2 linked regions of the Notamacropus eugenii genome follow. The protein of the gene in region 1 interacts with the protein of each later gene in a biochemical or structural test. Links are inferred from orthologs where the notes say so. Each region holds a gene or a part of one and is shown on either strand. Other genes may lie near its edges.

What was found.
Region 2: of the proteins of STAT1 (region 1) and PRKCD, one has a biochemical effect on the other in vitro, tested with the Homo sapiens proteins (2 studies listed by BioGRID). The link is inferred for Notamacropus eugenii from reciprocal best matches to the Homo sapiens genes STAT1 and PRKCD.

Annotation. Positions count from the first base shown.
Region 1 is NC_092876.1:258,466,738-258,482,881, reverse strand, and holds the start of STAT1 (signal transducer and activator of transcription 1-alpha/beta), read left to right. Parts: upstream 1-7,904; 5' UTR 7,905-8,135; intron 8,136-12,838; 5' UTR 12,839-12,839; coding exon 12,840-12,967; intron 12,968-14,635; coding exon 14,636-14,780; intron 14,781-15,604; coding exon 15,605-15,703; intron 15,704-16,144. UniProt on the Homo sapiens protein: Signal transducer and transcription activator that mediates cellular responses to interferons (IFNs), cytokine KITLG/SCF and other cytokines and other growth factors.
Region 2 is NC_092872.1:940,293-956,436, forward strand, and holds the start of PRKCD (protein kinase C delta type), read right to left. Parts: upstream 10,116-16,144; 5' UTR 9,312-10,115; intron 4,272-9,311; 5' UTR 4,146-4,271; intron 1-4,145.

The sequences.
Region 1 (16,144 bases):
CCCAAACAAATGACTATGGAATTGTTGTAAGATGGTAGTGAACTCAGGGCAATTAACCTCAAGAGCTCAATTCTAATAAAAGTTTCAGATACACTGGTAAAGTCGACAACTATGACCAAAGTTTTGGGGAAAGTCAACAGGATGAAAGTTGCATGCAGGAGGGAGGAAAGAGAGGAATCAGGGATGAAAAAGTTTCCTCTTCGTTAAAATGGGGGTAATAATAGCACCTCCTTCCACAGGGTTGTTTATGAGGATTGACTACTAAAGAGAAAAATGTCAAGTGTTATGCAACCCTTAATGCATTATATGTTAACCATAAAAAGGCTAACATAACATATAGTTAGCCTAGATAGTATAGTACATGGTACAGTGAATAATAAAATAAGAGTTAATATTTATATAGCACTTAGTATGTGTAAGGTGGGCAAGTAGGTGGAGCAGCAGATAGTGCCCAGTCCCAAGTCAGGAAGATGAGTTCAAATCCAGTCTCAGACTGCACTAGCGGATGACCCTGGGTATATCACTTAATCCTGTTTTCTTCAGTTTTCTCATCTAAAAAATGAGTTGGAAAAGGAAATGGCAAGTCACTCCTGTACCTTTGACAAGAAAATCCCAAATGGGATCAGGAAGAGTTGGACAGGACTCTAGCATGGCTAAATGGTTTTATAATTATCTCACTAGCTCTTCACAATAACCCTGGGAGGTAGGTGTTATTATTATCATATAGAAGGCAAAACTGAAGTAAACAGAGGTCAAATGACTTTCCCAGTGTCACAGAACTAGGAAGCCTCTAAGGTAAGGTTTGAACTCAGTTCTAACACACTTCAATGGCAGTGCTCTGTCCACTGGGCCACGTAGCTGCCTAAAACCGTCACTGAGCAGACTCTTAATCCTGTGGTCTGAGGGAGTTCAAACCCAGACTTAGATACTTAGCGATCCAGTGACTCTGGGCACCCTCCGTTTCCTCATTTGTAAAAAAGGGGATAATGCTAAACTACCTCTAAGTAACGGGGATTATGAGGATTAAATGAGATAGCACGTCTAAAGAGCCTGGCAAACGTTAAACAATCCAAATGCTAACTATGGTTACTAAGGAAACCAAAAATGCCCAAGAGCAAGAATCACCGAGAAAACGCCTGTTCTTTTCTCTATGAAGCCCCCGCTCACCACCCAGCTCCCGACTTCTGCTTGCCCCCTGCCCCCCTCCATCCCAGCTCCTGCCATCGAGCAGCCTGGGACCCTTTGCTGCGGCCAGGCAGTCCGCCTACGAGCAGTGACACGCGCCAAGGCGGTCCTGCGGCTGGCTGGGGCCAGACACTAAGCGGCGGAGCCTAAGGGATGGAAAACCCCGGCCCCGAGCTGCTCACGCGCACTGCTCCCGTCCGAGGCTAACTTTCGCTTTCCGCTCAATCCACAGTCTTCTCGTTCCCTGGGCTTTTCTTCGAAACCACGTGATGGTGGCTGTTCCGAGCACCGCGCACCCTCCTGCCAAGGTCAGCGTCAATGTTGCCCCTAGGCGAGCCAGGAAACCGCAGCTTTTTTACTATTTAACCTTCGTGCCAATTGATTGTTGGAGGAGAATTGTTTCCTTTCATACCGTGTAACTGATCCTTTAAAGTGAAACATACTAGGAGGAAGATAAAATGTATCACAAATATCCTCGCGTTTGTATCACTAGGCCCATCGGGTCTGCTGAAGACGAGAAGCCGGAACAACGCAGGAATTGGAATTTAGTGTAATGAATGAATGGATAGAGCGTAAAATTTGGAGCCAGTAAAGCCTTCAGTTCAAATCCTGCCCCATCAAACACGTGCCAGCTGTGTACCCTGGGCAAATTACTTAACATCTGTTTGCCTCAGTTTCCTCAACTGTAAAATGGGGATAAACCTATCTCCCAGAGTTGTAATGAGGCTCGAATGGAGATAATAATTGTAAAGTGTTTAGCACAGTTCATGGCAGATAGTGTAAGCTATATATAAATATTAGCTATTATATTATTTATTCCAGCTCTAAAGTAAACTAGTAAGAAAAAAGGGATGGATTTGCAGTCAACGTATACGAATTAGAATCCCACTACTGTGACTGTTGCTGTAAGGCGATTCACTTCATCTCACTGAGAATTAATCTTCCCACCTGAAAAATGAGAATAATGCCGCATAGGAATTGTTTGTGAGACAAGTATTTTGTAAGCTACAGAATCGAAGCATTGCAAAGGACTTCATAGGAAATTTAACCAACAGTGCTTTATGTGTGAGTTATTATCAAAGTCCTCCTATATGTGAATTATGATTGAAGTCCTCCTGTTCAACAACAGGATAGAACAGATGTGACCACATAGTAATTGGTGTGACAAAGATTGAGCATGCATCAACAGCGTGATCTCATTACCAGAAAAGGTGTTTTAACCTTAGATGACATTAACAAATATATGGTATCCAAAACAAAAACAATGAAAGCTCATCTATACTCTGCCCTGGTTCAGACCATATTTGGAATGTTTTGTCCTATTCGGGATACCACATTTTGAGAAGGCCAATGATAAGTTGGAGTGAATCCAAGGGTTGGCAGCCAGGAAGATTAGAAGGTATGAAATGATGTCATGAGGAATGGATGAAAGAACTGGGGATGTTAAGCCTGAAAAAGAGAGTGCTTTGGGAAGTATGCTATCTATCTTTATATATTTGAAGATGTCATATATAAGGGGTATGAGGTTTGTTCCACAGAGTTCCAGAAGGCAGATCTAGAACCCATAGTTAGGAGTCATAGTGAGACCAATTTCTATTAAATATAAGGAAGAAATTTCTAGTCACTAGAATTGTCCGGCATGGAATGGGGTGCTTTGCAAAGTTTGCAAGCCAGAAAAGAAAATCAGTTGCCTTGTTTCCTAGTCACAGTCATTTTTTTTTTCACCAAAAGGTAGCCATCTTAATAATAATAATAATAATAACTAACATTTGTCTGGCACTTTAAGGTCTGCAGAGCACTTTCTTGTGAGCCTTACAACTCTGTGAGGTAAATGAAATTATTATCCTCATTTTCAGATGGAGGAAAGAAAGGCAAAAAAGAGCTTAAATGACTTGTCCAGTCATATAGGTATAAGTGGCTGGTACAGGCCTCCAAGATCTGTCCACTTCTCTATCTCACTGCATATTGATCTTATTTATCAGACCAAATGAATCTTGGCTATTTCAAAAGCAAAAATCCCTCAAAGGACAAAGATTTCCCATTCAGCAGGACAATGTTAAAATGAGCAAACAATTGTCAAAGAGGAGTTGCAAAAATATTTTGAGCAACTCAAGCATGATTGGAATAAGAGTACAGCCTCCAAAATAACTATTTTGAGGAGATAATACTTATTTGATTGTAACAGTTTTGTTACCAAATATTTAAATTGATCCGTAATCTCAACAATTTAGGAGTTCTCTCCAGCAAAGCCTTCTTTTCCATTCTATGGGACTTTAGTCCACAACTTTTTAAAAGTTCATTATGAAGGGTCCACTCAATGTGCTAGCTGCCTTTTTTGCTTTCTCCTGACATTTCAGTGGAACATTCTGGTTATCCGTCTGTCATCCCTTGCTCTTGACCTACTCATCCCTTCCTTTCATTCAATTCCATCTTTTACTTCTGTTCTTCACACTCTATTTATATTATATATAATTATAATAACAAATTAAGATAAATAATGAATATATTATAATAAAGCATAATAAGTAATTATATGTAAAGATTGTATATAATCTCTACATTGCCCTCTTATTTCTAATTCCTCAGAGGCATGTGAGTTCTGTAACTTACTCTCATATAGCAATAACTATGGATTGTTAGTATTTAAAAGATGGACCTTTGCTTTTATGACAAGTTTAGGATGGTAAAAGGGCTTTGCAATTTCCTGAAAATAATCAGACAACCTCTCCTATTCATAACTGATCCCAACTCTTTGTTTATCTCTACTATTTGTCCCAGATACATGCTGTTAGAAAAGCTCTGTAGGGTAGAGTGTCCATTCAAATGCATATTGAAATCTGTGCCATAAATATTTTTCATCTTTTAAAAAGTCATATTACTTCATAATCTTATTTACATATGTTATGGTTCTTCTCCAGTAGATTATAATCTGTGGGGAAAATAGTACACAGTTTTAAAAGGCAATACAAAGCAACATATTCAGCTCCTGTAATTTCTCCATTACAGTTCAGACTCTAGGTCAAGGAGGAAGAAAAATGCACTCTTAGCACCTGGGATCAATGCTCCAATATGTGTGGTAAAGAAGTAAGAGCAATTAGTGTTCAGAAAAAGGAGAGAACACCTCCAGTCAGGGAAGCGGTCTGCAAAAGACGAGATGAGGTTTGAAAGAGGTCTTGAAGGATCTATATTGGAACAATTAGTGGTTCTGGACCCTGATGGCTTCCCAGAGCAAACAATTCCCACTGGGATAATCAGCCTGGAGTACCCTCAAATCAGCTTTCTAATTCTGTGAAAATAGTATATTAGAACTAATCCTAAAAATTCATTGATATAGAGAACTTGCAAGTGAAGAAATGTCTTCAGTTTATAGTCTGTCTCCTTAGAGGAGTGAATGGTTAAATAACTTGCCTAAAGTCAGAGGTAGGATTTTACATATCAGAGGTAGGATTTATACCCAGGTCTTTCTAGCTTCAGGGCCAGCTCTTTATCCACTACACCACACTGTGTCTTAGCAGCATTAAAGTAGTATAAGAAATTAAGCTAAATTCAGTAGCCTGAGATGGAGAATTATAGAACCTCAGAGTTTGAAGGGATCTTGGTGGTAGTCCAACCCAACCCACAGGATGTGGGTTCCTATACTAGAGAAGCATTCATGTGACTCCTTTCTTTTAAAAAAAAATTAATATTTAATTTTTCTCTCCAAATACATGTAAAAACAATTTTAACTTTTTTTTCAAATGTTTAGTTCCAAATTTTCACCTTCCCTCCACTCCCCCTCCCCTATTGAGAAGGCAGTTTGACTTAAGTTATTCATGTATAGTCATGCAAAACACATTTCCATGTAACTCATGCTGTGAAAGAAAACACAGGGGAAAAAAACAAAATAAAGTAAAGGAAAAGCATCTTCAATCTGCATTCAGGCTCCTCCAGGTCCTTTTCTGGAAATGGACAGCATCTTTCATTATAAGTTCTTCAGAATTGTCTTGGATTGTTGTATTGCTGAGTTTGACTCTTTTCTACACAGTGTTTGGGCATCAGGATTATTCCCCTTACTAGAGGGAAATGTTAATATATGCAGAAGGATGACAGGATACAGGTTAGTCCTCCTAGGAAAGATAGAGAGAAAGGAAAACCTTAGGGAAAGGAGAAGTGAGGCAGACTTGGAGAATTTTCTACTGGATGGGGTCTGGGTGGAGAGAAGAGACAATGCAGCAAATGGGCTTCAGTTTGCTGTTCTAACATCTTCCCAAACCAAACATCATTTTCTCCATTCATTTACCAGAATCTTTGCCTTAGGGCAAAACCCAAAATGGCCCTATTAGCTTTGGTTTTGAAGGAACATAGGATTTCTATAGATGAGGAAGGAGAGAGAATATTTCATTGTAAAGGAATAATTTGAGTGAAGTATGGAAGTAATATTGTGCAAAATGGATTCGAGAGAACATGAGTAGACAGTAGGCTGGGTCAGGGATTGTCTATAGGGAAAGGTTATTGTTTATTCATTCACCATTTACTCAGTGATTCAATCATTCTTTTAACAAATATGTGTTGAATGCCTAGGCAAAGCATTGTATACAGGTCCTGGGGGGAAATACAAAGAATAGAAAAAGTCCTTCCTCTAACGGAGCTCACATCACAGAGTCATAGAAACCAGCTGGCACAACTCATACTTAAACAGAAATCCCTCTGCCACATTCCCAACAAATGGTTATCTAGCCTTCACTCCAGAGTAAAAGCAAGTCCAGTAACTGTGAGAGTCGCTCATTCCACTTTTGGATGGCTCCCAAATTTTTAGGAATATTTTCCTTACAATAAGCCTAAACCTGCCTAACTTTCTGTCCTTTGCTCCTAGTTCTGCTCTCTGAAGTCAAACAGAACAAGCGCAATCAGTCTTCCAAAAGACTTCTCAAATGCTGAAGACGCATATCATTTTCCATTCCTACCCATCATGGCATGAGCTTGAGGCACTTCACCATCTTGGTTACTCTCCTCTAGACACTCTCCAGCTTTTCAATGCCTTTCCAAAAATGTGATGCCAAGAGTGAGATAAATGTGGCCTGAGACAGGTAAAATACAGCTGAATTTTTACCTCCTGAGTCCTGGACACTATTCAGTAAGAAGATATTAGCTGTCTTGGCTACTGCATTACGTTGTTGACTCACGTTGATATTCTAGACCACCAGAACTTGCAGATCTTTTTCAAAGGAATTGCCATATAAAAAATTTTAAAGATGAGAGAACAAGTACAGAGAAGGAAAAGTGAATTGCCCAAGGTCACAAAAGGAATTAATAAATGGTAGAGCTCAGATTTTAATCTGAATACTCTGACCCCAGATCCTCTGCTCACTATACTATACTATACTACACTACACTACACTACACTACACTACACTACACTACACTACACTACACTACACTACACTATACTACTGCTTCTAGTCAGTGGATAGAGCACTGGGCCAGGAGTCAGAAATCTCTGTGTTCAAATTTGACCTGAACCACTAGACTTGCCCGGGACAAGTCACTTAACCTCTCTTCCTCAGTTTTTCCAACTGTAAAATAGGTGTACTACTGATAGCACTTATCTCACAGGATTACACATAGCAAGCAATTAATAGATTCTTGTTCCTTCCCTTCCACAGCCCACTCCCATGGCACTGTGAATCATAAATGCAGGCACAATGCAGGGATGGTTGCAGCCAGACCATTCTATTCATATTTATGCAATCTAATGCCACTACCAAACACTGAAACTCCAATCAATATCTTACAAAAGTTTGCACTGCATGGGGGTCCCAACTGTCTTTGCAAGAACATTGATCTAACGTCATACCATTCCGTGCCCACTGTGGGTCCACTGTCCCCACCTGTATCACTGCAGATGCTTTGGTTTTAGTTTAAGTCCATGATTATGGACTTATAGTCAGGAAGAAGGAGATTCACATTCTGCTTTTGACACGCTGTAGCTCTGTGATTTGGCGTCTCTCCGTGCCTCGATTTCCTTTCATTTATAAAATACATTTTAATAAAAACATGTACCTTTCAGGGATGTTGTGAGGATCAAGCAAGATAAATTCAGAAAAATATCACATTTTGTCTTGTATAATGTACAGAAAGCATTATTATACTTTGATAAAAAGTGCTATCTAATGTGAGTATTATTATTACTGAGGATTAGGGTCTTTGCTCCCCACACTTTCTTACATATAACACCCTGGAAAGGAAAGATAGATTGTTTCTTCTTGCATGGCAGTTATGAAGGATGCTGCAGTTTGGAGGTTTGGCACTAAGAGAGAGAGTGAGAGTTCAACAAATATCTGTCAAACACCCAGTACTGTGTAAAAGGAGTCATGCTATGTTCTGGGGATATATTAGTTTATACATCCTGATCCTACTCGCATGATTTAGATTATTTACTAATAGAGATGATTTGGCACATCTTTTTGCTGCTAGCCACTGAAATGTAACTTCGGAGGTTTCATTTTCAACTGCAGACGAAACTTGTTAGATATGCCCCAGATTATGCTACAGGTTTGCTTTAAGATTAGCAAAGCGAGACCCGGAAGACGGAAGGCAAAGTGAAGACCGTGCCCACATCTGAGAAAGGTACTTGAAAGGGAACAGGAATTAGATGCAGAGAGCTAGATTGCGGAGGGGAGTTGGGGCCAGGGAAGGAACAGCCTTTTTTGATTGGCCTGACGAGAATGAGCCTGCTCCATGATTGGTCAGGAAGTGGAAAGTGAAACTCGAACGGGTTATTAGCTAATTGCGTTTTCTCTGTCCAGTTAGTTTTGCTCTGCTGCAGGCCGACCCTAGGAAACAGCTGAACCTGAAAACAAACGAGCCCCGACAGCCCCCAGGAAAGCTTTCTAGAATCAAGCCTGATCAAGCGAGTGACAGCTGACGTCCAGCCTGCTCTGTGCTACCCCCGCTTCTCGGCTCCGCAGAAGGTGGGTACTTGGGAGGAGCTTGGACCAGACGGTTGTGGAACTGATGGGAAAGATGCGTCTTTACTTTGCGTGGGGAATCCGGGATCAATCAGTATTTGCAGAACACTGGCTAAAATAATCGGGGGGCGCGGGGCAATCAGGACACTTGGGAAGGAGGGATTCCCTCAGCTCCATCCTTTATCCAGAGAGAAGGGATATCTACGTACTTTTCCCAAATGGAGACAAGTTACTTCTCTCCAACTGAGCTCGTCTATAAAAAGACGATTGGATCAGATGGTGTCAAAGATCATTTCCAGCTTTAAAGTTTTGGGATGTCTAGGTAATTAGCTACGTAGGGCTAACAGAACACATAAAACATCTGAGGAGGGAGAAAAGAAAAAAACACTAGCAAATGGGAAGAATCTCTTAGGAAAGGCAACAGCTGAGCTGCTCCTTAATGGAAAATAGGGTAGTGGAAAATTGGAGGAGCTGGATTCTAACCCCCGTTGTGTTAATTCTGTTACCTTTGGCAAAGTATTTGAGGCAGGGGTTCTTAACCTTTTTTGTTTCATTGACCTCTTTTTTATGCTTATGCACCCCATCCCAGAGTAATTTTTAAATGCATAAATAAAATACATAGATGTAAATATAAATAAATAGAATACAAATGAAATCAATTATATTGAAAGAGTTATCACTGTGTTTTAAAAACACATGCAAATTGATGGACCTGGGGTTAGGAACCCCTAAATTTTAAACTATCTGAAGAATGCAGTACATAATATATGACCTGATTGTCCTACTTTAAGCAGAGTTAGAATTTTAGAGCTAGAAGGGACCTTAGAGATCATTTCATCCAAGTTTTTTTTTTCATTTTATATTTGAAAGGAACTGAATAGACCCATTATCTTTATCTGCAATCTCATTCAACCAGTTTCCTAAGTTTGAAATTTTGGTGTTAACTTTGACTCTTCCCTTTTTTTCAGTTCACATATCCATTAAGTTGCTAAATTCCCTTAATTCTATCTCTGTATCTTTCATTCAATCCTCCCTGCTACCAGACTAATTGTCCTCATCATAGAGTCATAATTCTTCTAGCCAGAAATTTTTATTTGTTCACTGTCATTTAGATCTAAAGTTCATTTTCCTTATCCTGATATTCAAGGCCTTTCACAATTTGATGCCCCCCTGTATTTCCAGTCTTTATGTCCCTACATGTGCTCTTTTTCCTCAGCTAAACTAGATTGTTCCCCAAACCACCCTTATACCTTTCCAATCACAGAATTTCCTCTGTGTACATTATCTTCCCCCATTAAATTTATCTTAATCCCCCTTTTAATGTCTAATTCAGATGCTACCTCCTTTGAGACACTGCTTTCTGTGTCCCTAGGTCATTAATGATCTTACTTATCATGGATTGTAAATAATACTTTGTGCTTTTTTAAAAATTTTGGATACCACATTTCTTTTGCAGTTGTGTTTGGAATCATAAACTCCATGGGGATTGTAATCCCCATGAAGTCAGGGATTGTTTCTTATCTAAACTTTCTATCTCCCCAAGCATCTATCACAGTGATCTATAAACAATAAATACAAAAAATTTCAGTTGAATGTTGGATCATCTCTCAAGATTTACTCAGATGCATCTGAGTAGCAAATTATGCTGCAGTTAATTTCTAGTGTTTGATATGCTGCAAATGAGCAATTGCTATTGGAATTTGCTAAAAAAAATTATTTTGTCTTCAGCATTTCTTGTATATCTGTGTGTGTGCATGCATGTGTGTGTTTACAATCATAGTTTGTATTGTAAAGAACCTTGGATATTTTCATGTTTGAATTAAAGAAACTAAACCCATGGGAATGAAGTAATTTTCCTAAAATCAAGCAGGGACAGAAATGGTTTAGAAACCAGGTTTAATGACTCTCATTTCAGCCCTTTTATTTCTAATTTTTACCATACCAAGTGCTACTGTGATGATGACAGAGTAGAAGATAGAAGAGGCTAAGACAGTTTATAGATTGTCTATAGAAATTCACTCCATTGTAGGCTCTGTCAATATAATATCCTTTCCTAGGAACCAGTAAGTGAACCTGCTATTAGAGTAACCAAATCATAGCCATTTGGACATTCTTACTGTAAATAAAGCCAGAAGACAACATTGCATCTCAATGGAAGGTTTGTCTGTAGAGTATCCTTGGAGAAAAAATGATGCAGCTGATAGAGTTGGTTTTATCATGCATCGAAAGGCAACAAGAAACGTCATTTCATGAGATTCTTGGTTAGCTGTTTGGTAGGCTCTTGGTTTGTTTGTTTATTTTGTGGTGTTCATGAATAGCATGATAAGTATGCGAATAACTGAACCTTATGATCCATCATCTGTTACAGAGGATGGGGAAGTAAAGAAATGCTGTTAAGAGCTTAAGAAGATCCCATCCCCTCCAATGAAATCAACATATACTTTAAAACTCAGTTACTTCAGTATCCATGTCTAGAGTGTTTGTGAAATATGATAGAAAACATAGTGTAAGAATAAGAAATCAAAGTGATCAGAATAGTGTAGACAATACTGAAACCACCTTCTTTTATGTAGTGAATGCTACATGGGGACAGGCAATGAACATGAGCACCAAGTAACATCATAAAAAATGAAATGAGTTATATTTTAACAAACAAAAGATGACTGGTTACTGACATAGCAGTCATTTCTGAATCAGTTGTCTATGTAGTCAAACTTGTTAGAACAAGATCAAGATAAGTATCAAAATAGAAAAATAAAAATGAGACATAGGACTAAGGTAGATTCAATGTGACCTATTTAAATAAGCTATTAGCATAACAATGGGAAATAGATAAAAAAGCCAACATTAATGTAGGCTAGTATTATTTCTTAGAGAAATACAATCAGTGTAAGTCCATAGCATAGAAAGTGCCTCTGCCAGTCAACACTTGATTTTGTCAAATGAAGAGATATTGCAGAAAAGGGCACCAACCATTTAAAGCATCCATTTATTTGCAAGAGCTTACTTGAGGAAAGTACGGTAGAAAAATATGAGCTGTATCGTTGCATAAAAAACATTGAGAAGTCATAACAGGAAGAAAAAGTTTAAAGAAAGTTTGGTGAGAGACCCAACTAAGCAAAATCATCCTAAAGAAATTAAGAGGTTAAGCTGTAAGACTGAAAAATATATAGCTGAAAATTTTAAAGTCATAGTTCCTGATGTGCTACTCAGGGAAGGAGAAATGGCCCTGAAAAAATTTAGGATGGGAAGAGGAGTTCAACTTGACTTAGTAAACTTAGAAAGAATATACTGGAGATAAAGGCAGTGAGAGATTGATTCTCAAGGAAACTGAAAGTAGGGAGGATTATAAAGGCTTAGGAAAAAATCTCAAACCTTACTACTCCAAAGGGCAACCAAAAGAACATTAATAATTACTAATACATATTCTCACTTTCTTATGTCTGTACCATTTTTTATGAAGATAGGGTACATGTGCATTGAGATCATCCCCAGGTGTATAATAATTGAAAAAGCAGGCTTCTAAAATGATATTTTAGAGCAGCCACATGGTTGACTAAAAGGTATAGCAGATACAGTATTCTACTGCACATATTATTTGTTAACAATAGAAAAAAGTTATTTGATTTTGGAGAACAAAATGCTACTTTAAAGGTTTTCCTCCAGAAAGTTGATTTCCATAAGACTTCAGAATCATATAAGATTCCCTGAAAGAAGTAACAACAGAGAAAAATTTTGTTCAACAGTTCTGATACATCCAAGTCAAAGAAGGATTCTTTATAGATAGCGAGATTCTTCAGATGATTCTGTTTGTGGATGATAATGGACTGATTGCAACAAGCCCATAATATTGTGGATCCTACTAAATGAGATCCATATTGATTTAGCAGATTTCAGCCTAAACATCCACAGAGAGAATACCAAATGGATTAAGAACAAAATTTTAGAAGATCCAATATCTAGCACTGAAAACCTAATAGTAAGCACAAATCTAATTCTTCACTTTGCTAAGCTCAGCAGCTATTTGTTGCTGATGTGCTAAAAGCCCCAAAGGATATAGATGACAGCAAATTTGGTGGTAGATGGAAAAATGCATTTACTTTCCTTTTCCTATTATTAGGAAAGGAAAATAACTTAAAAGGCAAGCACTTTCTCTTTACTTTAGCAAAATATGTTGTATGAGATCGGTCTGCAGTTTTTTGACAAATAAAGATCCCACAGATGTTAAAACTTTTGCTATTGAGCTCTTGGATTTTGAAATTCATTAATGCATTTTGTTCTTACATCCTAATCACTTTCCAGTAATGTGTCTACTATTTCACTCCTTTCAGACCCTATGACAGAACTATCTGATACAGTGACTATGACAGAATGTTCTATGACTATAACATTCCACAGTTATAATCTATGACTTTAACTGAGAGAAGGATAAAGCGTTTTGGTATTAGTCATCTGGAACCAATATTGATCACTGCATTTTATCTGATTTTTGTTGTCTTTTAAGGTTATTTTCATTTGCATTATGGTTGCCATTGTGTATATTGTTCTTCTGACTTCGCTTTTTTTTAGAAAAAAAACAGTCTTCCCATGTTTCCCCAGATTCCTCATATTTACTTTGAACTACTCTTCTTAATACCCAGTTTTTTCTCTTTGTCTGTGGAACACTATGATCTTTAATTTGTTGTATATTTCTTCTTCACTTATAGGATGTCCCAGTGGAGTGACCTACAAGGACTTGACTCCAAATTCTTAGAGCAAGTGCATCAACTTTATGATGACAGTTTTCCTATGGAAATTAGACAGTATTTGGCACCTTGGCTGGAAAAGCAAGACTGGTAAGGAAACCCCTTGGACATAGTAAAAACTTCTGTCTGCAAGTTGTGGGTGTGACAATGATTTATTGATTTAGTTAAAATTATATTGACAAAGGACATACTCACATGTTCACAAAAGTGTTTTAAGGCACATAAAACTCTTCTATATAAAACTCATAACAACTCTCTGAGGAAAATAGTACAAGATTATTATAGATTTTTTTTTATTGATGAGGAAACTAAGGTTCAGAGGTGAAATTATTTTTTCAGGATTAAATGGATTTTAGAGGAGAACCCTAACTTTGAATCCAGTGCTCTTTATATCACAACACATTGTATCTCTTAAATGGATCATTTATGAGTCGATTCATTCTTTCCTTCAGGAGTTATTGGCTGAGTGCATCTAATGTACTGTGAAGGATACAATGAAAAATGGTTCAATCTCAGGTCTCAAAGCTCTTAGAGAGAGAGATAAGGCAGGCAATACAAATAATCATCATAGAAGATAAGATATGAAAAATGTAATAGGAGAGGTGCAAAGGTAATTCATAGTGGGGAAGAGATCACTTCCAGTTGAACAATCAAGGAGACGGCCTCAGATATTGCACCTTGAAGGATGGGCAGGAATTACATAAATATAGCTAGACCTAGAAGGACGTCCAGAGAGAAAAGCAGGAACAAAAGCATTGGGGTAAAAAATCAAAGTCTATTGCTACTAATATCCTGAATTTTATAATGATTTGTGCTAAGTCCAAACAACTTGGATAAAGGTATAGATGGCATACCCATCAAATTTTCAGGTGACACAAAGCAGGTAGGTGACAGAATTAACATCCCCAAAAGATCATGGCAAGCTTGAGAATTGGAGTAAATCTAATAAGATAAAATTCAGTAGGAATAAATGTAAAGTCATGCACCTGGGTTCAAGAAATCAATCTCACAAGTACAAGGTGATGGAGACATGGCAAGGTAGCAGTTAATCTGAAGAAAGGTTTAAGGGCTTTGTTGACTATGTGTGACATGCCAGCCAAGAAGCCACTCTTGGGCTTAGTGATCTTAGACTTCATTAAGAAGAGGATCAATAGATGAGAGTCTCCTTGTACTCTTCCATAGTAAGACCACATCTGAAATAGTGTGTTCATTTATGGGTACTATAGTTTAGGAATAGTATTGATTAATTGGAGAGCACACAGAGAAAGGCAATGAGGATGATGAAGGGCCCTGAGTCCATGTCATATGATGATTAGTTGAAGGAACTCAAGGTGTTTAGCCTGGAGAAGAGCTTTAGGAAGACGTGATAACTGTGCTGAAGGATTGTTACATGGAAAAGGAACTGTTCTATTTGGTTTCAGTAGCAAAACCTAAATCAACTGATGAAATTTGCAAGAAGTAAATTTAGACTTGATATAAGAGAAAGCTTCCTAACATTTATAGCTATTCAGAAGTGAATGGGGCTGTTTATTGTTCTGTGACATTTGGATTCTGTCACAGGGCTACACTTGAAGACCTAGAGTGCCCCATCCCTGGTCTGGATCAAGACCCAGGGAATAAGTGGCAAAGTTGGAATTTGATTCCGGGTCCTCTGACTCCAAATCCAGCATCCTTTCCGATGTATCATGCAGGTGGACTTTCATATATGCTACTTTAATATTATTTGGAATTAGTAATTGTCTGTTTTGAATCTCCCAGGGAGCATGCGGCCATTGATGTCTCCTTTGCCACAGTATGTTTTCATGAACTTCTGTCTCAGTTGGATGAACACTATAGCCGCTTCTCTCTGCAGAACAATTTTTTGCTGCAACACAATATAAGGAAAAGCAAACGTAATCTTCAGGTATGTTTTAATCTTTGTTGGAAATGTTGCCATGTTGTCACCTGGAAGTTCTCAAAGATTATGTGATATTAATTTACCTATAGCTCCCATTTAAAATTCATTATACAGAAATTTGAAATTTACAATATGAGTAAAGGGAAGCAATCAATTCATTTCATAAAAACTTTTAGCTTCACACATAACATAAACCATGTATTTTATATCAACACCTTTCAGAGAAACACAGTATAGTGCAATGAAAATAATGCTGAATTTGGAGTCAAGGGACTTGGAGGTTCAAATCTTAGTTCAAACCCATTGCCTTTAGGCAAGTCACTTCCTCTATCTTGGTCTCAATTTCCTGATTTGGAAAATTTAAGAGTTGGATTAGATGATCTCTAAGACCTCTTCAAGCTCTAAATCAATAATCTTATGAAATCTACGATATAGTTATGAATATCTTATGAATATGTTAATCTTGTGAAATACTATACAAATTTACATAAATGGATTAGGAAAACTAGGAACTGAAGGTGTTATAGAAACAGACTTTTCAGGTATGTGAGGTATAGAAATCATGTAGTCCTGCATGCAAAAATGATAAACGATGTATGAAAATATTTTGAGTATTTTTAGTCAAGGGGAATATGTTACTTGTAGTAAGGAAAGATAAAGAAATGTTCTGATATAATTAATGAGAGAGAACTGATAGAAATGGCTAATTTCTAGCTTATACAAATGATGATAAATGAGTACAAGTACACCTCAAGAATAGGAAATGTTTTCCCAATTTCAGTGACAATTTATTTTAATTTTTAATTTTGCTTTTCATGCCATACACCTAGGATAATTTTCAGGAAGATCCAATACAAATGTCTATGATCATCTCTAATTGTCTGAAGGAAGAAAGGAGAATTCTAGCAGCTGCCCACCAATTTGAACAGGTACTTTTGGTCCTACCAGAACATGTGTGAAGAATCACCTTAAAAAAATTGGTCTGTCTCTAGTGAATGGAGCTGTAAAATATGGGCAGACTATATCTACGACATTTCTTTGGTCAAAATGTCTAATAACTTGTCTGATGAGTAAATGAGTTTATTCTGGAATTAATTGTCCTTGATGAAGCCCTGCTGGCTCTTGGGGACACACTCCTTTTGTTTTTTAATAGATGCTCACTTCTAGAATTTAGCCAAAAATTGGAGTTGAGCTCTTTGGCCTATAATATGAAGACTCCATTCTATTTCTTTGAAGATCAGAAGAACTTTTATCCTTCTCTAATCCTGTAATGCCTTTCCCTGTCTCCTCAGTCTTTCAGAGATAATTGACAGTGGATCAGTAGTCACATCTGTTAGGTCTTTCAGTGCCTTAAGATAAGAGTTCATTTA
Region 2 (16,144 bases), on another chromosome or scaffold:
ACATCTTTCTTGAGTGTGTATTTCTGTGTCTACGCCTTTCTTACCTCTCCTACAGCTGTATCTTACAACCAACCCCTTCCCTTCACTCACCCTAATTGAGTTCTTCACCTCTTATTGGAACTACTGTAGAAGCCCTGACTCACCTCCCCCTTGTCCAGCCTCCACTGAGCTGAAAGTGAAGATGACATGTCACCATCTTCACTCAATAAACTCCGATGGCTCCCTATTACACTGAGGATCAAAGACAGACTATTCAGTTTGACATCTATATCCCTTCACAGCCTGGCCCCAACTGACCTTTCCAGACTTATTAAACATTATTCCCCTTAATGTACCTACTGTGTCTGATATACTGCATTCCATCTCTGTATCTATTCCTTTGCATGGGCTAGTTCCATTCCTGGAACATGCCCCTCCCACCCCTCTGCCACTGAGAAGTCTTAGTTTCCTTCAAAATCTAGCTCAAGGGCCCCCTTCTACGGGAAATCTTTCCTGATCCTCTTAGCCGCAAATGACTTCCTTCCAAAAATGGCCCTGAGCTTGTATCTTCCTCATGTGTACATATATTCATACATACATATGCACCCTCAAAAATTACCTTTACCTTGTCTATCTCTTCCGTATATGTATACATTCATCCATATATCTAAATATACTCTCAAAAATTACCTTGTATTTTATATTTCTTTTGTGCATAAATATATTGTGCGTGCACATTATTCACACATACATCACACGTACAAATGTGCCTGCACATGCAGTGCACCTACACACAATAAATGCAAACATGTGTATGCATGTATACCTACATGTAAATATGCATGGGCATGCATCTTGTCTCCCCTGATAGTATATAAACCCCTTGATGGTAGGAATTATGTTTTCCTTTGGACACTCAGTGCTTTGCATAGTGCCTGACTAGGAGTCTATAGGTAAGGCCTGTATTCTGGTGTGTGTGTGTGTGTGTGTGTGTGTGTGTGTGTGTGTGTGTGTGCATATCTGGGCATGATCTATTTATGTGTGCCTATGTATGTGTTAGGTAGAGGGTGGCAGAGAGTCCCAAGGCTAATTAACCTCATTAGATAATGAAATTCACATGGGAAAGGGGAAAGAAAGGCTGATCTGATGCTAGCTCTGCATATATCCTTCCCTTCCTCCCTCCCTCCTTCTTCCCTCCATCGTCAGCTCTGTTTGGAGAAGCTGAGGATTCAGCTGCTCAGAGCAAAAGGGAGAAGTAAAGGGGGGAAGTGGGGCAGGGCTGAACCCCTCCCCCCAAGCCTTAGGCCTTGGAGAGCCACACCCCTTCTCCTCCTTTCCCCCTTGCCCATCCCCCAGCTGCCTGAATCACCAGAATGAGACTTTCCAGTGAGGAGCTCCCTGTCTGGCTCTCTGGGCCAATGAACTGTAACCAGCTTGACATCCCTTCTTATGAAGGTCCTGTTCTCCTGCTACAAGCCTAAGCATTCCCAAACTCTCTAAGATTCGCCATTGTCCCTCCCTACATTGACCTCCCAGCTTGGGGTCCAGATTCAGGGCAAGTCAATTCAGCCCCTGGGCTGCAGATCCCCAGACTGCTTTTCTGGTTTTACCTTGGTGGGGTGTACCAATGGTCAACAGGGGAAGGGAGGAGAAAGAAAGGAATAGGGGAAGAAGGAATGAGGGGAGAGGGAGAGAAGAATGATGGGAGAGGAGGGAGGGAGGGGAAAGCACCCTGTAAACTTCTTTCTGATGAAGATAAAGGTGTTAACACTGTCCTAGTTTGAGAGACAGGATGTAGTGACAGGGGTGTCAGTTGAAGTATTTAGTATTTTGGGAAAATTGTAGTTGAAAGAGCACACAGCACTAGGATCTGGTGGCCTGCCACTCATTGACTGTGTGATCTCAAGAGACACGATTGTTCTGGGAGTCAGTTTCTCCATCTGTAAAATGAGAGGGTTAGACTAGAATGATCTCTCAGGTCCCTCTCAGCTCTGCTAATCTGTGAATCTGTGAAAAAGCTTTAATGTATGTGACAGCTTTTTGTTTCATTCTCTGTGTTCTTTCCACAGAAGAAGGAGTGAGATTATGCTAAATTAGACTGTGGGTAGAAGGCCCAAAGCCCACCCACAGAACAGAGCTTCTGGACTGGCAGAAAGTGAGCCAGGGATAGAGTCGAGTCCAAAGCGCTCAGGTAGGCTTATCTCAAATCAGTACTGGGTGTTCTGGGACAGCAGATGTCCTTCTCTTTGGCCTGGAGGGGCAGAGGAAGGGCTCCAGGCCAAGAAAGAAACATGGGGCCAAGCATGGTAAGGGGGATAGAGGGGGGTTGCTTCACCCAGCCAGCTCTGAATGGTTTTCTTAGATAGCACTCTTGTGTGTTTGTGTACGTGTACAACCTTACCCTTGACAGCTCTGTTACAAATCTTCTTCCTTGTGCCAAACACCCAGAAAAGAAGGGAAGAAAGGGCCAGGTGACAGAAGTGGGGACCACGAAGTGGAGAGCTTACTGACAAAGTTTCCAGTTGAGTAGGAAGGAGAATCTGAGAGAAGAGCAAACCTCTCTAGGTAATACTAGGGAAGGGATCGAGGCCCCAGAAAGTTGACATGACTAACAAAGGCCCCACTTTAAGCTGCCCTCCACACCAAGCATCCCCCCCATATGTGGAAGATACATTAAAACCCTTGGGAACTAGGATATAAATGCATCCCCAAATCTAGAGAGATGATATTAGGGAAAGGAGAGATGGGAACAAGACAGAACTAGTCCAGGAAGACTTCCTGGAAGAAAGAGAACTGGGGCAGTTCCAGGCAAAACTGCAGAGTAGCAAGTGTAGAAATTCTGATCTCCTTGTCCCTATCTTTCTGCTCTTCTCGAACCCCCTGCTCATGAAATGTTCCATAGATTGGGCCATAGCTTAATGGAATGTCTTCCCTAAAGGGATTAGCAAAAGGTCCTGCAGACAGTAGGTGCTTAATAAATGTTTGTTAAATGAGTGAATGCAAGCTTCTGACAAATTCATCCATTCTGAGCTTTTAGCAATATGATATGCCACTCTTAGGATTAAACTAAATTAGCATTTCCCCAAAGCATCCTGGAAAGGGTAATGCTGAATCCACAGAAACTGGTAATCGATGAATTGGTCACGGTAAATGGATGAAATGGTAATGGCAGAATTCATAGCAATGGTGATAGGCTGGTGGAGGAAGGATATGAGTGTGCCACCCTTCCCATGGTCTCCTTCAAATTGCATTCCACCCCAGCGGCCCCCCTTCCCCACCTCTTTACTTTTGCTCACTCCTCTTATACTGCGGGCCAGCCTAGGGGGTGGGTAACATGACTGACGGGAACAAAACCAGCTAACAAGGCATTCTGACAGTCAGCAGACCAGGGCTGGAGTGCTTCCTTTGGCATTAAGTCACTCTATGGCCTCCAGCAAATAATGTCCCTTCTCTGGGCTTCAAGTTCCTTTTATGTTCAGTGGGAAACTTGGTCTCTGCTTTCTAACTGTAAGTGTCTAATCCTAGGATGATAAGGTTCTAACACTCTATGAGTCTAGCATCCCCCAAAATACAGACCATCCCTCAGATACAGGACTCACCCCCTCCCTCCCCAGCAAAGGGGACCTGCCTAAGGTTCCTTTGCTTACATGGTTAGAGAAGTAGAAACTAGGGGCCACAGAACAGTGATGAATGCAGTGGTCTGCACCGACCAAAGGGTAATATGTCATCTCAACAACACCCTCCTCTTTTTCCTTTTATCCTTCAATCCTCCATCCTTCTCCTCTCTGGTCTACAACCTCCTTCCTCTAAATCAGTGCTTGGAAATCCTGAGGAGCAAGACTAACACATAAATGTACCCCAAATCTGTAGAGATGATATCAGGGAGATACTGGAGCAAGAACCAATCAAAGAAGCCATATATCAAACACAAACTGCCTGAAAGTGACATTAGGAGGACACCAGCCTCCTAAGCCCAGCCAGCCAATTCCACACCCATCCCAGTCCTCAGCCTGAGCTAGCATCCTAGGGTCCGACACTCTCCACAGGCTGGTGACACGGCCTGATTCCCCAGAGGGCTGGTCTTTGACATTAGAGGTGCAGCAAAGAAGAAACAACGAGAGAGCAGAATGGCTCAGGGACTGAGGAGGCCCCTGGATCCTCATTACCTGTCGTTCCTGACTAGGGTCTCACTCTCTGTCCAAGGTCCTTATGTAGCAGGTGATTCTGAGGAATGAGAAAGATTCCCGGACTGATGCTAGGTGAGACCAAAGGGCATCCAATCCCCACCAGACCTGCAGGGCCAAGACAGAAAGAGGGCGGTCACATAACCACTACAGAAATGCCTTCTGAATCTACAAGGAGAGGGACAGAAAGGGAACCAGACTAGGAGCTGGGAGATCAGGGTTTTTTCTAGTCTTTTTTCTGCGGCTGATTTGCTGTGTGACCTTAAGTAAGTCATTTACCTTCACTGTCTCATTTGATACATCTATAAAATGAGGATGGTCAAATTAGATAAAATGATCCCTTTTTTTGGTCATGGTCCCCTTTTACCTTCTAATGAAGCCTATGGACCCCTTAGAATGTTTTAAAATACATAAATTAAAATACATAGGATTACAAAAGAAACAATTCTATTGATGTCTATCTGTCTGTCTAGCTAGCTAGCTAGCTATCTAAAACAAGTTCATAGACCCCAAGTTAAGAACCCCAAAGTTAAGAACCCCAAAAGTTCCCTTTTGATTCTGATGACCATTCTATGGTGCCAAGTCTTTAATAAACACCCGCTAGGACCGCAACCCTATACTAGGCATTAAGGGAGAGACAAAGACATATAAACCAGGATCCTTTCTCTCTAGGAGCTCCAGACAGGCTAGGGAGAGAAGGTGGGGCAGTTAAATGATCCTCACAGCCATCCCCAAAGCCACAGAGACATTTGTTCACCTGTCCCCTTTGCCCTAGTCCAAAAGGCCACAGACCCAATCCCAGGGGCACAGCTGTATTCACTGGCTTAATATTTTTCCTTTTTTTAACTTTAAATTATTTTAACTTTTAATTTAAATTCTAATTATCTCTTCCTGTTAAATGGTGTCAGTGCCCTGCAGCCATAGCCCAGAATAGTCTACTCTCCATCTTTCAGGGCTTAGTAACCCAATGTGCAGATTACCTAGAGATCTAGTTTCCCTTCCTGGGGTTAACTTCCCTTCATCATTCTCTTAGTAAGCCAAGCAAAGAGATTCTGGGAGCATGGATTTAGAGCTAGAAAGGGTTATAGTCCAATTATCTAGATTTGAGGCCAGAATAGATAACTTTCCCCAGGTTACTCAGGTAGTAAAGTGGAGGGCTGGAATTTGAACCAAAATCCTGGGACCAGTGCCCTTTCCACCATATCATGCTGGCTCCGGTCTACATCGCCCTTGGGGCCTAGGGTAAGAGACGCAAGAAGAAAGGAGGACAGGAATCTCAGACAAAAACCAAGACCAGAAGCAAATCTTGATATAGATTATTTTATGTGTCTGGTTTTCCCTGTCTTCTATATGCCTTGCCCCTATCTCCTTATTGCCACTCACATCACAGCCATCCTAGGCAGGTCCTCATTACTTCTTTCCTTGACTATCTCAAGAGCCTATCTATTGGTCCCCCTGTCTCCAGTCTTCTCCCTCCCCCACCTCTATTCCCTCCTCCACACAGCTGTCAAATTGGAATTCCCAAAGTGCAAATTGGACCATGTGACTTCCCTGCTCCAGATGTCTTATTGGTTCCCTATTGCCCCAAATGGTGAAATCCAAACTCCTCTCTTTGGTTTTTCAGTCCCGTCACAATCCAGCTCCAACTTACCTTTCCAGGCTGACTTCACCCTGCTCCTCTCAAAGGCTTTTTTCCAGCCAAACTGGCTTTCTGTTTGTTCACCTAACTCGTAACACTCCATCCTCCACCTTGATGCCTTTGCACAGGCTGTTCCTAAAGCCTGGAATGTACTGGCCCCTCATCCTTGAAATTGCTAGCTCCTTTCAAGGTCAAACTCCAAAGATGCCTCCTACCAGAGGACTCTCCCTATCCCTTGGGTCAGCTGAGGTCTTCCCCAGGCCCCAGGAAATGACTGTATTTATTTATCTGTGTAGAAGTTTCCTCCCTATAGAGTCTAACTAAGTTCATCAAGGGCAAAGACTGCTTTGTTTTTCAATTTTGACTATCCTCAGACCATGGGTAGAACCTAGAAAATTGTGGCAGGGTTAGTCCAGGCCTGCAATTTCATAGGCATGTTGAAAGTCCTTTTTATTAATGCAGATCCCAGGCAATAAGCATTAAGCAGCTACTATGGGTGAGGCACCATGATGAATGATAGGTATATAAAGAAAAGTAAAAGGCAGCCCTTACCCTCAAAGGGAGAGCTAGGTGGCATAGTGGATAGAGCACAGAGCCTAGAGTCAGGAGCACTAAGTTCAAATACGGCTCAGACATTACTAGCTGTGTGGCCCTGGGCAAGGGCACTTAGACCTGTTAGCCTCAGGTTTCTTGTTTGTAAAAATGAGCTGGAGAAGGAAATGGAAACCATTCCAATATCTTTGCCAGGAAAAACCCAAATGGGGTCACAAAAAATCGAACACACTGATCAACAACAACCCTTGAAAAGCTCACAATCTAATAAGAGAGACGACATGCAAGCAAATATATAGAAAAACACTATATACAGGAGAGATAGGAAATAATCAACAGAGGGGAGGTTCTATAATGAAGAGGGAGCAGGAAAGATTTCCAGTAAAAGGTGGGATTGTAGGTGGGCCTTGAAGGAAGCCAGTGGATGGCAGATGAGAAGAGGCAAGATGTCTATAGAGCCCTCCTGAATCTGAGGCCACCTCTCTTTCCCCTACACTATGTTTAATGCTCACTGAACTGTGTGAGTGATCCTCAGAGGCTAATCCAAACCTTTCTTAATCCTTCCCTCCAAGACAGGTCAGAGGCCAGAGGTAGCACACTGAAATCTCCACCAGAGAAGCCACTTTCTCCAAGCATTGTGATCACACAGGAACGCATGGGTTAATGCACATACATGTACACACAGTGTCATTGTTCCACACACACTCACTCCCAGAATAAAGCAGAGTCACACTCTCTCAGAGAGTGAGTATCATACACTAATACAGCAGGCATTCGCAGAGTCATGCACACACACACACAAGCAGACATACCCACGCAGTAACAGTCACTCAATCACGCACAGTCACAGTCACATTCACTGCCTCCCACACATTCGCCCTCTGCTGGCCTGTCAGTAGGCACTCTGGTTCAAACTATGTCTACCACAAGGAAGCCCAAGTGACCTGGGTCTCCACCTCTCAGTGACCTGGTCACAGCTGGCTACAGCATGTCTGAGGAGATGCTGGGGGGAAAAAAGAAACCATACTCCCATACACACACACATACACACACACACACACAGTCAGGTGGATATACGTATAATTTCACCATGTAGTGTCTGCACAGATAAACTGCCCCCATATCTAAACCCCCAGCAGGATTCACAGACACAGGAGACAGACACAGACAGAGGGAAGTCAGAATCACATTGGACACAAGGAATTGGGGCACAAAGAGATGGGACAGGGAACAGGCACAGAGACATGTAGGACAAACAGAGTGACAGTATTCACACAGCAACAGAAAGAACAGATGCAGAAAAATGCAGACTACCTAGAGGTAGATGGAGACACATAAAGAGATTTTACAGGAAGGACCCTCTCCCCAAAAAAAATCCACTTGGATGGTAGTGAGAAACTCCCTTGCCATAACTTTTTCTCAAAAAAGTCTCTCCTGCCAGTCAGGGGAGAAAGCCACGGGAGGGAGGGAGGATGTGGAGGTGAAGGGAAAAGACGGTCAGAGGATGGACTCTTTTTCTCCACTCTTTTTCTCCACTACCCACCAAACCTTAGAAATTCAAGGGGTGGATGACTTCTGTGTGTCCGAGTAGATGGGTTCATTCTCTAAACCCTTCCCAAACACGCAGGCCACTCATCAAATCAAGAAGTGTCCAGGGTTCCCTTCCAGAGGTTCCCTCTCATCTGGCATAGGATGAGCTTCAGATCTACTGGTCCAGCTGAGATGGGGGAGAGAGTACAACTGTCCCTTAAAGTTCAGGAAAGGTGATGACAGGAAGATGGGAGACAGGGACAGAGAAAGACAGAGTCTAGGGCACAGAAAGGAGAAAGAAATGAATGAAGGAAAAAAGAGACCCCAGAGGCAAGAGGATAAGGGATGTAAAAGCAGGTAGTCAGCCAAATTAAGGCTCTTCTCTCCCTTTGTCCTGATGGGAAAAGGAGTCAGAAATAAGATAGGGAGGACATTATGTAGCTGGAAGGAGGGCAGAAGTAGAAGTGCTAGGATGGAAGGGACATCAGAGGAAGGGTGGGAACACAAAAGAGAGGGCAGAGAAAGGAAGAGAAGCCAGAGGGGATAAGGGACAGAGTGGTAGGCGGGACAAGACAAGACCAAGCAATAAATGAAAAGACGTGGCAGGAGAAACACCAGGAATGGTTGACGATGAATGAGAAGGGGAATAAGTGGATGTGGGGATGACAGAAGGAGGCCAATGGATGTGGGCTGATGGATAGAAGTAAGTGGAAAGAGGATTACAGACAAGATGACAACGAATGAGGGGCATCAAAATACTGGGATGATGGAACGGGGATATTGGGTAGGGTGAATAGGGATGGTGCTTTTGGGGGACAATGATGGGGGAGATGAATGTGGGGTACAATAAATGAGGGGATTATGGACGAGAAGATACGCATGGAAGATGACAAACGGGGGTGGAGAGTGGGAAATGCCCCATGAAGCAGTTCCCCTGGAGACAGACAGAGAGACAGAGACAGAGACAGAGAGACAGAGAGAGACAGAGAAAGAGAGAGACGGGGAGAGAGACGGAGAGACGAGGAGGGGGAGATAGAGAGAGACAGAGAGAGAGACAGAGACAGAGAGACAGAGAGAGACAGAGAAAGAGAGAGACGGGGAGAGAGACGGAGAGACGAGGAGGGGGAGAGACAGAGAGACAGAGAGAGAGAGTGTTCCTCAGTCAAGTGACAGAGACAGAAGGAGAGGTGCCGAGGAGACCCGACCACGGGAAAGGACGGTCACTGGGAAGGCAAGGCAGCGGCGGCCATCGGCCACGGGGTGGTCGGCTTGGGGCAGTTTCAGAAGGGACACGAAACTCCCCAAGTCCAGAGCCGGGAGGCTGGTAGCCCGGACTGCCCTGGAAAGACCCGAGTTCGTCTCCCAAGCCCAGGTCCGAGGGGTGAGGGGTTCTCGGCCCCTCTCCCGGTTCTCTCCCACCTCCTCACCTTCCGTAGCCAACAAAGGGGGTGCCTCTGCTGGGTGAGGGGTCTCTCCAGGCCCGGCAGCCTTCCTCGTCTGAGAGCGGTCTCTCCCGGTCACCGCGGTGGGAGGGGGCCCCTCACGATCTGGGTCTAGGAGGAGGGGGTGGACGAGGGTCGGGGTGCAGAGCCTCTCCTCCTAGTTCCGGGGACAGGATGATCTGTCTCTGGGTTCCAGGGGAGTCTCGCAGCCCCCAGGCTCTCGGCGCTCGGTGGGGCGGGGACCGAGAGGGCGAAGTCTCCGGCTCTCCGCCTTGGGGTGCGCCTCGGCGCTCTGGGAGGGGGGCGGGAATCTCTCGGTCCTCCGCAGGTCGGGGGCGTCCGCCCGTGGGTGTCTGGGGAGGGGGCAATCGCTGGGTCCCCAGGGGGACTTGGCCCAGTCGCCGGAGGCCCCTCAGCCCCGGGAGCTGGGGGGAGCCGAGAACTTCGGGGTCCTGGGGTCTCTCCGCCCCAGCAGGGGGGGATCACTCCGTCCGGGTCTCCGGGGGGACCCAGGGGTGGCAGGCTATCTTCGGCTCCGGGGCTGGGGGGAGAGGGACGAGGGACTGGGTCCCTCGGGTGGTGAAGGGTTAGGGCGCAGGATCGCTCTGCGCTGGGGCCGGGAGCTCCTCTCCGGCTCGGTTCCGGGCCGACTCCGCCGCTCCGGGGGCCTCCGGCTCCGGGTACAGTCACACAAGGAAGTGCGGAGCGAGGGGCGGGGCGGCCCAGACCTCACCCAGGTGCTGGGAACCCCGGCGGCCCGCCCAGTTCCGCCCAGAGCCTCCCGGGGCCGCCTCCGAGGCGCCCCGCCCTCTTTCTCCCGCTCCTCGGCCCAGGTCTCCCTCCCTGCCTCTGCGGCCGCCCCGCCCCTCCAGGCAGGGCTTCGTACTTTGTGTGTCTTGTAGAAGTGCGAGTGTGTGTGTGTGTGTGTGTGTGTGTGTGTGTGTGTGTGAAGGGTGTGAGTGTGAGTGCGTGTGTGTAAAGGGTGTGTGTGTGATGGGGGGGTGTGTGTGATGGGGGGGTGTGAGTGTGTGTGAAGGGTGTGTGTGACTGTGTGTGAAGGGTATGAGTGCGTGTGTGTGTGATGGGGGTGTGTGTGCGTGTGTGATGAGTGTGTGTGAAGGGTGTGAGTGCGTGTGTGTGATGGGAGTGTGTGTGCGTGTGTGATGAGTGTGTGTGACTGTGTGTGAAGGGTGTGAGTGCGTGTGTGTGTGATGGGGGTGTGTGTGCGTGTGTGATGAGTGTGTGTGAAGGGTGTGAGTGCGTGTGTGTGATGGGAGTGTGTGTGCGTGTGTGATGAGTGTGTGTGACTGTGTGTGAAGGGTGTGAGTGCGTGTGTGTGATGGGGGTGTGTGTGCGTGTGTGATGAGTGTGTGTGAGTGTGTGTGAAGGGTGTGAGTGCGTGTGTGTGTGATGGGGGTGTGTGTGCGTGTGTGACTGTGTGTGAAGGGTGTGAGTGCGTGTGTGTGTGATGGGGGTGTGTGTGCGTGTGTGATGAGTGTGTGTGAAGGGTGTGAGTGCGTGTGTGTGTGATGGGGGGGTGTGTGCGTGTGTGATGAGTGTGTGTGACTGTGTGTGAAGGGTGTGAGTGCGTGTGTGTGAAGGGTGTGTGTGACTGTGTGTGAAGGGTGTGAGTGCGTGTGTGTGAGATGGGGGTGTGTGAGTGTGTGTGTGAAGGGTGTGAGTGCGTGTGTGTAAAGGGTGTGTGTGTGATGGGGGTGTGTGAGTGTGTGAAGGGTGTGTGTGACTGTGTGTGTATGATGGGGGGTGTGATGGGGGGGGTGTATGATGGGGGCTGTGAGGGTGTGAAGGGTGTGTGTGTGATGTGCGTGTGTGTGCGTGTGTGATGAGTGTGTGTGAGTGTGTGTGAAGGGTGTGTGTGACTGTGTGTGTGGGAATGTGATGGGTGTGTGTGAATGTGTGATGAGTGTGTGTGCGAGTGTGTGGGTATGTGTGAAGGGTAGAGAGTATCTAGCTTCTCCGAGAATGAGGATGAATCCTCTGTCAGGAATTCTTCTGAGTTTCCCTCCTCCTTTCCTTGTATCAATCCGCAGTCTCTGTGTGTCTCTAAGTCCATCCTCACCGGTTCCCCTCCATGTTTTGGTTTCTGTCACTGTCTTTCTAGCTGTGTGTGTGTTTCCCTTTATATCTGTCTTCTTTGCCCCTTCTTTTTTCCAATGGCTATCTCTGTCCCGTTTTCAGATCATAGCACCATACATCTGTGAGGGACCTTAAAGACCTTTCTCCCCGTCTTTCTTTTTCTTTGAATATGCTTATCTCTGTGCCATCTCTCTTCCGTTGGTCTCTTCTACCTTCTCCCCTCGTACCCCCACCCCAGTCTCTCTGTGACTGTCTTACTAATCATTTTCTCTGTCTCTGTCTGTCTGTCTGTCTCTCTGTGTCTCTGTCTCTGTGTCTCTGTCTCTGTCTGTCTGTCTGTCTCTCTCTCTCTCTCTCTCTCTCTCTCTCTCTCTCTCTATCTATCTTTCTATCTCTCTCTCTCTGTCTTTTTCTCCCCATTCCCTGTCCCCACACACCAGCTTGGTGAGGGACAATTTATTCCCATCCACTTGAAGATGGTCTCACCTCAATTTTGAGAATACAGGGAGGGAATGAAGGGGAATCACAGTTTTCTGCTCACTGTTCCTCTCTCCTCCTGGCTGCCAAAAGATTCCTGAATCCACCATCTAGGTCTCAGAGATAAGTACTCCAGTCTTCTCGGTGTGCTCGTCCCTCCCCCCATCCCACAACCCCAAACAGAATTCAGACTTAATTATGGTGATTCTGGGAGGGGACATGGAGACCAGAAGGGTGGAGATTTTATCCTAATTTTGTGGGGGGAGAGGTTTTGTCCATTCTTCAAATCCCACCTCCTCCATGAATGATGAATCCATTCCACCGTGAACTGAGAATTACAAAGTCATGGAATGTTAGAACTGGAAGGAACCTTGGAGAGCAGCCCAATTATTTTACAAATGAGAAAACTCAGACTCAGAGAGAGGAAGTGACATGACCAAGGACTCTTCTCCCTGAGCTTTCACAATACTTTGCTATTTTACTTTCTTGCATCTCCCTGAGTGCCTATGTTGAGGAGCTAGACATGCAGTAAGTATTCAGTAAATCTGCTTATGTTCAATTGATTGACTGCACTGAAAGTAAGGGAAGGCACAATGCTCAAAGAATGGTGGCATCCTGTGGGCAGGCGTATCCAAGCCCATGTTTAGGTCACTGGACCATCTTGGGGCTGAAGATTAGCGACGTGTCAAGAAGGTTGAGGAAGGGCCAGGTATTATCCCAATTGTTTTGGGGGGTGGAGATGGGCATGGGGAACAGAACACCACCTTGACATGTAGTCATAAGCCTCTAGGGCCAATCTGCCTCAGACAGGGAAGGACAGAAACCTGGGGATGGAAGGAAATACCTACTCTGAGTCAATCAGATCAACCCTGAGTAGGTTAGGCTGTGCAGGGGCTCAGGCCTCTAGGAAAGGGACCTCAAGGCAGGGTTTTCCCCCAGTTTCTCCTCCCCTTGTTCCCTTTACCCAAGTCACAGGACTCTTGCCATTGAAGAGAAAAGCATGGCTGGATAACTTTGAGGGTAATAGTGCTTGTCCCAGGGCACCTATGACTCCTCTAGGAAAAGTTCTGGAATCTGACCTTTCCTAGGGATTGGGCTAGCCTGGAACCTCAAGGTCCCTCCCAGCTTCTCTCTCCTTTCTTTTTCTTTTTCTTTTTCATTTTCTCTTTTCTTTTTCATCTCTTTTGTAGGAATGCGCTCTGGCTTCCTCACTTCCCTTCAGCTTTCTCCTAGCAACTGCAGCTTTACATCTCAGCAAGAGTTTACAGGTAATAGGACACCTTCCCACTTCATTCATACCCCCTCCCCCATTCCCACCCCACCTTGAACATCTCTGCTCCATGTGCAAGGAAAACAGCTCTGACCTGAACTGTGTGAAATTTTTTAAGTGGCCCAATCTGGGGCTAGGGTTTCTTTGACTGCAACTTTTCAATTGGTCAATAGCTTGTATGGGATGTAGATCCCATAGGTCATTCCCAACGAAATAATCCATTGAGAAATGGGGTGACTTGATATTTCAGCCTCCTTTGTCCATGGAGACTTTTAATATGAATCAATGACTTATTTTTTTTTCCCAGGATCTCTGTCCTTGGTAGAGATCAAGAAGATTCCAGAGAGGACTCTCCCAAGGTGAAGTAGAGGACTGCACAGGATGACTTTTATAGCCATTTGACATCACTGGTCTAATAGTCAGATCATGTGAGTCTGGGTTAAATGTCTTCGTGTCTCAGTTTTCTTGTCTGTACAGCGAGGGCAATAATACTTGCCTTGCAAATTCCCTAGAGCTGTTGTGAGGAAAGCCCTCTAGAAATGGGAGCTTTTTATTTAAATCACTGCCATTGTCCTCATCAACATTCTCAACCAATTTTTACTGAGCTAACCAATATTTGCAGAAATAAATAAAACCCATTCTCTACCATCAAGAATCTTAAAAGCTATGGCGGACAACACAACCTACATTAAAAGATAGCTTGTGCTGCTAGGAACTCTATGGCAAGGATCAAAGGAGAGTTACAGCCAATAAGTACATCAGTAGCTGGGAGGAGGAAGAGCTCACTGAGAGCTGGTTGGGGCTGATGAGGGAAGGCTTCATGAAGGAAGGTGAGTCATAAGTGGAAGCCTTGAAGGACAGGTAAAACTTAGATGGGGGGGTGGTGTTAGAAGAACAGCATGGAGCTGTTGAAGAAACTAGATATCTTTGTTTCCCTGGAGGAAACTTGAGGGGACACGATAACAATCCAAGTATCCCAAGATCTCTCATAGGGGAGGGATATCTGACTCATTCTGCTTGGCCCCAGAGTAAATCTGGGAGTAATGATTAGAAGTGGCAGAGAGGCAGATTTGAAGTCATTGTAAAGGAAAAATGAAAAACTAAAACCAAACCTTACAATAAGAGCTACACATGAGCAGAACCAGCTACCTTGGGAGGTCGAAGGTTCCCTGTCTCACTAAAAGCCTGCAAAGAGAGGCCTGATAACCACTTGTCAAGGATGTTCTACAGGGGGAGTCAGGAAAATCTGAATTCAAATCCTGCCTTAGACACTTACTAGCTATGTAACTCTGAGTAGGTCACTTCCCTCAGCCCTGATTTCTTCATCTGTAAAATGAAGGGATCCCCTTCCTAGGATTCCTGTTCAGGCATAGATTGGCCTAGATGACCTCTGAGGGCCCCCAAACATTTTGTGATTCTTTGGAGGGAGGCCACTAGCAACTCTTCTCTGGACAGAGGACTCCTATTCACTACATCTTCCCCTTGGAGGTTGGGGGTGGGGAGTTGGAAGATAAGGGAAGGATGGGCTAGAAGAAGCACCTTGAAGAGGAAAGGGTTTGGATTTGGAGGGAGGATGGCTCCTAACTCTGCTACTTACAACCTGTGCAATGATGGTCAAATCACGATGCCCCAAGTTCCTCATCTATAAAATGGGGATAGAAATATCTACCTTCAGAGGGTAACCGCGGGGATCAAATGAGATCATAGGATCATAGATTTAGATGTGGAAGGGATCTTAGAGTCCAACCCCATCATTTTACAGATGTGGAAACTGAGGTCCAAAGAGTTTAAGTAACTGATCCAAGGTCACGTAGACAGTAAGTAGCAGAGCTGAGATTCAAACCCAGGTCCTTTGACTCCAACCATTCTCTGCCCAATCACCTCCATTCCCATGCATTCCCCACCCCTAGTGTACCACTACCACCAAAGTCCTGGACTAAGACAGGGTCAAGATGTGAGACAAAGGAAATGAAGAAGACAGCAGCCCCAGGCCGATGGGGCAGGTAGAACAACTCCTATTACCAGTCCAACAAGGATCAGCATTGATCCTTCAACTCTACACCTCTTCCTCCTTGTCCAGGTGCTGAGCTGGACATATAAAAGATGTGAAAATCTTCATGCAGTTCAGCTTTCCACTTCAGAGCCAGAGAGCCAAGTGAATCCTGGGATAGTCCTCCCAAGTCAGTCTTGATTGGCTCCAAGATGGAGCTGGCAACGTCAATCTTTCCTTATTTCTAGGTTTCTTTCTGTTCTTCATCTTTGTCTCTGTTTCTGGCTCTGTTCCTGTCCCAGTCTCTGTCTCTGTCCCTGTCTCTGACTTTTTCCATTCCTGTCCCTATGTCCAACTGTCTGTTTTTCACTATGTGTCTGTCTTTCTGTCCCCATCCCTGTAGCACTTGGGGAAGAAGGATGGTCAAGGATGAGATGGCTAATGCACCAGGGCTGGGATGTTCCCAGAACCTGTGCCAAGATGATAATGTTTGGGCCAGAGGAATCAGTGACAGGACCATAATGAAGACAGTCTGTCAACTCTGAGGAGGGGCCTCTGTGAAGAAAGGGATTATCTGGTGTGAGACCCAGACTGAATCCCCAACGAGAGAAGAAGATTGCTGCTGAATCCAACACTGGGAGGAGAAGCTGATATTTTGTATAACGAAATGATGTCTCATATTTGACCCTAAGCCAACCTGAGAGTAATCGCCCCAGACATAATACTGAGACTAAAGATGGGTGCTTGGGAGGTGTAAGGGGAGAGGCCTTGACTGACAGATAAATAAAATAAAACAAGTTACTCAAGGCCACATAACTCAAAGCTATTCCAAAAGAGGCATCTGGACACAGAATCGGGTCAGTGTCTGCAGACACTGATTGTAGTACGGTCTCTGCTGCTAGTGTATTGTGTGACCAAGGGAAGGTTTTCTTAGTGCTCTGGGCCTCAGTTCCCCATCTGTTAAAAGAGAAGGTCCAACTGGAA